2 linked regions of the Caenorhabditis elegans genome follow. The protein of the gene in region 2 interacts with the protein of the main gene of each other region in a pairwise test. Each region holds a gene or a part of one and is shown on either strand. Other genes may lie near its edges.

What was found. The genes of interacting proteins can lie anywhere in the genome.
Region 1: the proteins of dlst-1 (region 2) and ogdh-1 interact in a two-hybrid assay, tested with the Caenorhabditis elegans proteins (one large-scale study listed by BioGRID).

What each region holds. Positions count from the first base shown.
Region 1 is NC_003282.8:4,702,342-4,706,093, reverse strand, and holds the start of ogdh-1 (2-oxoglutarate dehydrogenase, mitochondrial), read left to right. Parts: upstream 1-2,100; 5' UTR 2,101-2,109; coding exon 2,110-2,217; intron 2,218-2,576; coding exon 2,577-2,824; intron 2,825-3,257; coding exon 3,258-3,549; intron 3,550-3,752. UniProt on the Caenorhabditis elegans protein: The 2-oxoglutarate dehydrogenase complex catalyzes the overall conversion of 2-oxoglutarate to succinyl-CoA and CO(2).
Region 2 is NC_003283.11:6,706,999-6,710,750, forward strand, and holds dlst-1 (Dihydrolipoyllysine-residue succinyltransferase component of 2-oxoglutarate dehydrogenase complex, mitochondrial), read right to left. Parts: upstream 2,104-3,752; 5' UTR 2,093-2,103; coding exon 2,036-2,092; intron 1,981-2,035; coding exon 1,941-1,980; intron 1,894-1,940; coding exon 1,813-1,893; intron 1,762-1,812; coding exon 1,505-1,761; intron 1,448-1,504; coding exon 1,077-1,447; intron 1,027-1,076; coding exon 576-1,026; intron 432-575; coding exon 297-431; 3' UTR 58-296; downstream 1-57. Other genes in the region: sna-1 (Small Nuclear RNA (snRNA) Associated protein), read right to left, coding at 2,698-2,855, 2,904-2,960, 3,009-3,259, 3,307-3,386, 3,473-3,487.

The sequences.
Region 1 (3,752 bases), on a different chromosome or scaffold from region 2:
CTCTGATTAGTGGAAAAGTGGGCGGCGCAAATCTCTGATTTGTTGAATATCTCACATTGACGAGAATTTAACCAAAATTGAAAAATCAAAAAGAATTTGGATTTTCCATAATTCCGGTTTTTTTTTGTTTCTCTATCGTGATTTTTCTGAATTTGGGTCTGAGGGTGTCGATTTTTCAATTTTTCACTGAAATCTAATGATTCAGATTTTTCAAAAAAATATCTTAACATTTTTTGGACGAATACATATGTTATCTTAGTGTTTTTCTTTTTATCAATTCAAACAAACTTCGTTAAAAATTGTATTTTAATGTTAATTAACTAAAAAAAATTAGATTTTCAATATTCCAGAAAAGTCGAAACATTCTCCGATGACACCATTTTTTGAGATGTTCTTGAAATTTTTAAAACCAAATTTCCAATCATTTTACTTCATCTTCAAATTAAAGAATCAAACTGATATTTTTGTAGGTTCTGTGATGCTTCATAAGTAGAACATATTTCTAATACAAAAGTAGTTTGTATATGTGTGTATATACGCGTATCCGCGCAGCCTGTGTTCATCAGTTTCTTTTTCTCCTACTCCTCCTACTCCTCCACCGAAATGCGTCATATTCTCTGGTTTTTTCTCTCTTTTTCCCTCCATCTCTCTATCTCTCTCTCTCTCTGTCTTTGGCCGATTGGTGCTGCTGGGCGCCCCTCGAAAGCGAGCCGCCCGTGAGAGTGTTATGAAACATTGACGAGACGCCGAGAGGCATGAGAGAAGGGGTAAACCCCCGGGCGAACTGTGTGAAGTTCTGTGCTTAATCACCCTCCTGTGGATCGTTCGATGATGAGATGATCTTGAACACGGGCGGTGTGTATGTCCACTCTTTTTCTCTCCTCTCTTCGTTTTTTTTGAATACTCTCAATTTGTTGTGTCTGCTCCTCAATTTCCTTATGCAGCTTCTTCTTTTTTGACAGCTTTATTTTGCACAACGGAAAGTTATCCTCTTGTTTTTTTTTGTTTATAGGTTTTCGCCCAATAAAAGCAAAACAAAAACCAGTTCTTCGGAAATACTTTCGATTTAAGTGGTGATGAAAAAAAGAACATTTTGTGATGTTAAATGATGACTAACAGATCAAAATTGTTGTTTTATGGCCCCAAAAAAGCTGAATTTCAGAACGAAACTTTTATGGAGGTTAAAAAATTCTTGAATATAGCTTGGTTTTTTTTAAATCTAAAACCTCCAATTTCGCCACCTTTTCCGTTTCGCAGAATTCAGAAAGTGATTTTAATTTGATTATTGTCCTATTTTCTGCATATTTGGATTGTTTTTCTCACGGGTTTTCGATAATTTAGTTGCATTTGAATCTAATTTGGACACAGAAAAAATGACGAAGTTGTGGGTTTTTAGCTAACAAAACATTTTTAAGCAAAAACCGTCATTTATTTTTTGAGCGATTTTTTAAAGTCTCGTTATGAAATTCAGTTTTTTGAGTTCATTGTATTTAGTCCTCACTAAAAAATTCAGAACGAAATGCACTAAAATCATATTTAAATAAATATTAAAAAATTAAATGAATTAAAAAATTTTTAAAAAAATTCGTCCGTCCAAATCAAATTTCTCTCATTTTTTCCCAAACTTTTCATTTTCATTCCTGAGACGTCTATCAAACAGAAGGTAATTATTTAAGTGATAGTGAAAGCTCCGTATGCAAAATTTCCATCTTTTTCCACATTTTTCGGTGTGATAAGACAGAATTGTGATTAGTGGTCTCTGTTCAAAATAATGCAAAAAATGACTAACAGATATTTTTTTCTTGCAAAATTTAAGATCTTAGCTAAACATAGCTTGAAATTTTCGAAATTTTGAACTGCCATTAACAAAATTCGTTCATTTGAGCACATTTTGGGTTTATAAATTCAAAATATCCGAAACCGTTAATCATCATCGTTAAAACATATTTACCCTCCAATTCAACGCCGTCAAAAAAAAATGTTGATGTCATTTTCCGCGTGACTTTCCTTTTTCTAAACACTATTTTTTGATCATTGATTTAAAAAAAAGAAAACAGTTTTATTATTTTCTTGTTTCTTCAGTAACCCGGGAAACTTGGCCCCCCAACCATGCATCGGGCGAGTCTTATATGTCGTCTTGCGTCCCCCAGTCGCATCAATGCCATCAGAAATGCTTCATCCGGAAAGAGCCACATTTCTGCTTCGACACTTGTTCAGGTAGTGACAAAAAATTCGAAAAAATTGGTTAAATTAATTTGAGAAGAGTATTTCAAAACAATTTTTCCCGGTTTGTGCTCCAAAAATAAGGTATCTAAAGTCTCGACAGGAAAGTTTTCTTTAATTAAATGCGAAAAGTCCGACTTGCGTTAAATGTGAAATATTCATCGATTTTTCAAAATATTTTTTCGGTGAAATATAAAAAATCGATTGAAATCCCTCATTTTTAAATTACAGTACTCTTTAAAGGCGCACACATTTTCGCATTTAACAGAAATTTGTCGTGGTGAGACCCTAGGTACCGTATTTTGAGTAAAAATTTCACGCCTGGATATCATATTAATTCCAAAATTTTCCAGCACCGCAATCAGTCAGTGGCCGCCGCCGTCAAGCATGAACCATTCCTAAATGGATCCTCATCCATCTACATTGAGCAAATGTACGAAGCTTGGCTTCAGGATCCATCATCAGTACACACTTCATGGGATGCGTACTTCCGCAATGTCGAGGCCGGAGCCGGACCAGGACAAGCTTTTCAGGCTCCACCAGCAACTGCCTACGCTGGAGCTCTTGGAGTTTCACCAGCAGCTGCTCAAGTCACGACCTCGTTCGTTTTTTTTGTTCTGATTGTGATGATGATAAACATCTAAACGAGAATTGAAGTCAACAACCTTGGAATTTTTCTTTGAAAAAACTGTTTTTCAAAGGGAAAATTTCAGAATATTCACTACAGTAATCTCAAAGGCTCCCGTGAACAGTTTTTATCAAAACAACTTTTTTTTGAAATTTTGAATCATCATGAAAGTTTTTTGGAGATTTTTAATAAAGTCTCATTAGAAAATTGGTAGTTTTAAGCAAAAAAATTTGCCCAGTGCGCCTTTAAGATTACTGTAGCGAGAAAAAATTGCAAATTCGATACATTCAATAAATGCCGAAACTAGTGTGAAAAGCTTCGTTTTTTGCGTTCTTTAAAAATTTTATTAGAAAAAATATAAAATTCACCGTAAATTTTCTAATTTTAATCTCGAAAACTGTTCCAGATCTGCCCCGGCCACTCGCCTCGATACGAATGCATCTGTTCAATCGATCTCGGATCACTTGAAAATCCAGCTCCTCATCCGCAGTTATCAGACTCGTGGTCACAATATCGCAGATCTCGATCCACTCGGAATAAACAGTGCCGATTTGGATGACACGATTCCACCGGAGCTTGAACTCTCGTTCTACGGACTTGGAGAACGTGATTTGGACCGAGAATTCCTTCTTCCGCCCACCACTTTTATCAGCGAAAAGAAGAGCTTGACGTTGAGAGAAATTCTTCAGAGACTTAAGGTGCGATCAAGGAATTGTGCAAAATGAGCCTATATTTTTCATTAAAATTTAGTGGATTTATCTGAAAATAACGTTTATTTCTGTTGGAAGAGGCCCCACGAAAAGGGGAGCAGAACGAAAAGGGGATCTGCAAAAAGGGGATCTGCGAAAAGGGGAGATACGAAAAGGGGAGATACGAAAAGGGGAGCAACGAAAAGGGGAGC
Region 2 (3,752 bases):
AATATCGAAATCAAAAGTAATGATTGCCAAATTTGTGTGATTAAAGACTGATGAAGAAGTGAAATATTTGGTTTTTATTTTTTTAATAATCAATACTAGCTTTTGAACAAGAAAACTCGGATAATAAGGGACAGTCGAACATAAGGGGTGAATGACAAGCTAGACGATACATCGTACCTATGATTTACGGTTGATTACTAAACGTTCAAACGAAAAATTAAAAATTTTGTGAAAGCATGACCAAGGAGGCATAGAAAAAAGAATTTAGAAAAAAAGGGGCGATAAAGATTTAAGATTTAAAGATTCATGAACATGATTCGTGGATCCTCGACGGCGGTCTTGATCTTCTTGAGGAAGGTGACTGCCTCTCTTCCATCGATCAATCTGTGGTCGTAGGTCAAAGCGATTTGCATGATTGGTCGGATCTCTGGCTGAAAATTGAACAAATTTTTATGAATCATACGTTTTTGTTTCTATATATTTTCAGTATTATAATCATTTTAGTTAAATTTAAACATTTTGAAATTCGAATTTGATAATTTCTATCAGTAATTGGAATAAAAATGAAAACTTGCCTTTCCGTTGACTGGAACAACACGATCAAACACTCCGTGCATTCCCAAAATTGCACTTTGTGGTGGATTGATGATTGGGGTTCCGAACATGGATCCGAAGACTCCACCGTTAGAAATCGTGAAGGTTCCTCCCTCCATATCTTCAACAGCCAGCTTTCCGTCACGAGCCTTCACTCCGAGATTGGCAAGTTCCAATTCGATTTGAGCATAATTCATGCTCTCGACATTTCTCAAGACTGGAACAACGAGTCCTTTCGGTGTAGCAACAGCAACGGAGATATCGACAAAGTGACGGTAGACAATTTCGTTTTCATCGAGAACGGCGTTAACAACTGGAGATTCTTGAAGAGCGTAGGCGGCAGCGCGGACAAATGGAGACATCATTCCGAGCTTAACTCCGTGCTTGGCAACAAAATCCTTCTGATAAGTCTTTCTCATTTCGATGAGGCTGCTGCAAAAACACGAAAACTTTTTTTAAAAACCCAGAAAACAACAAAAAACCTCATATCAATCTCATTGAAGGTAGTAAGCATAGCATAAGTATTCTGAGCATCCTTCAGTCTTTGAGCAATGCGCATGCGCATTCTGTTGGCTTTAACGCGGACTTCATCACGGGCTCCGGTGATTGCGTGGGATGGATCAACTCCCTTTGGAACAACGACACGAGTGACTGGGACGGCTCCGACTGGAGTGGAAGATGATGGTGTTGATGGTGGGCGAGCAACTGGTGGAGCAGATTTTGGAATATCCCCAGAAACTGGCTTTGGTGGGGCAGCGGCAGTCACAGCTGGCTTCGAATCTTCCTTGGCTGGAGCTGGTTTTGATTCTTCTTTGGCTGGCGCTGATTTTGGTTCTTCTTTAGCTGGCGCTGACTGAAAAAAAAACAAATATTATAATTCAGTCACTAAGCTGTACAAAAATTAACTCACAGACGAGCCTCCGCCTGCTCCTGGCTGAAGTTTATAAAGCTTTTGCTTGGCTGTCACTTTAGCTCCATCTTCCACGAGAAACTCGACAATTGTTCCGGCTTGTGGAGCTGGTACTTCAACCGAAGTTTTATCCGTCTCAATCTCAGCGACAAGTTCGTCTTCGTTAACATGATCTCCCTTCTGCTTTAGCCATCTAATATCTCCTTCCGAAATTGATTCAGCAAAAGCTGGTCCTTCGACGGTAATAACATCGCTCACTGTGATTTGAATATGAGATTTTTGAAAAGTATTTTTCATTTAAAACTCACTTCTTACTGCACTCATGTGGAAGTTGGCTGAAGATGTAATTCTCACATTTTGAACGAGTGGTTCCAACAAACTGGTCTTAGCTGGAAGAAATTCGATTATTTTAATATAAAACGTGTAAACTTCCTACCTTGGAGGCTTGGCTGTGCAGAAGAGGCAGCAGTTACGCTCTGGAAAACGGAATACGTATTTTTTTTAACTAAAAAATAAATGAGAAATGCTCACTTGTCTCGCGGCTCTGGAAAGAAACCGATGAACTGATACTGCACGTCGCCCGAGCATTTTCGGTTACCCTGAAAAATAGCGTATTAATATTTTTTGCGCAAAACAATTGAAATATGTTCTAAATAACTCCTCATTCAAAAATATCAAGGAATTTTAATGCAACAATTCGAGAAGTGGGCGTGGTCGGACGGGCGCTGGTCTGCAACGCGCGCGCGCGTTTTTCGCAACGCCACCGCACGCTTTTCGTTGGATCAGAGTTTTTCGGGATATTTTTCGGAATATCAATAACATGAAAAATACGTAGATTATGAATCGCATGACATATTTTGCAGTGCAATTAATCATAAAAATAAAGTATACACAAATTTTCACTTTGATTTTTTCAATTTTCTGTAGAAATTGTATTTTTTCTGTTGCATTTCTGATAAACACACACAATTCGATATAACACGTGGGTTTGCCCATTTGAATGTTGCAGAATCAAAGATATCGAAAACCAGTTTAACATTGTACCACTGGCTAGTTGATAAGCAGAAGATCGATGTGTGATTAGAAAATGTTTATTTGTGATTTTCGAATTTGAGAAACATAACGACGGCACAGTTCAAAAGTGAAGTATAGAAATAGTGAATAGAAAACGAGGATGAATTGATTAGTTCAGTTTACACGCTGAAATCTCGGAATGGCGCTCCGGTTTTCTTTTGGAAGTCTCGGACTGGTGAGACTGCTTTCGGAAGTGTGATAATTGTTGGCAAAACAGGCCGATAGACAGGAACGTTTGATGTAACTTGTGGAGCTGCATAACCGTATGGACTCGAGGCTGTAATAAAATAATTATAAAATGAAGAAAATATTCTATGCAACTCACCAAAACTTGGGTAATATTGAGATCGAGGCATTTGATATACAGGCTGTGGTGGATTTGCTGAAACATGACGCCAATTATTTTCAAATGGAAACTCAAACTATTTACCTTTAAAATTGTGAAATTCCTGTTGTAATGTTGGCCAAAATGTAGGATCAGCGGAGTTTGCAATTTGAATTGCTTGTGCAAAGCCAGCACCATCTACTTTATCCAGCAACTCTCCAAGGACTGCATCGATGCTTTTCGGGCCTGATTCGACATTTATTCCTTGATGAGATGCGAGCCTTGTTCGTAGATCACGATCCCAGTCGGTGAATCGTGTCACTCCTGCATTATAGTCGGCAGATCCTCTTTGCAACCTGAAAATATTGAGAAATTATGTGAATAAAATATATATTCGACTGACGCGTTAGCATTTTTCCACTTTTCGAAATTTGCCGCATTATCGGCAATTTGCTTTTCGATTTCGGCGATAGCTGCGTAGTCCTGAAAACAAAAGAATAGAAGATAATCGATAAAACAACGAGAAAAACAATATCGTCGACTTCCATTGGTGGGCTCTGCCTACCTACCTTCTTGTCGGCCATTTTCAGAACGAAAAATTGAAAAATTAATGGAAACAACTAATTTTCTGTTTAAAAACAAAAAATCAATCTCGCTTTCAAGACTTGAAATGTTCTGAAACCCCCTAGAGAAACGAGACGAGAAAAAATTTTGATTCGAAAATCGTTGAGGGGTGCGGAGTGTCGTAGCGCGCCTTGTTTATTTTTTGAGTGCTTATGGTAACTGGCTTAATATTAGGTCTACGTTGAATAAAACAACAAATTCATATTTTACCTTGAACAATTGTAA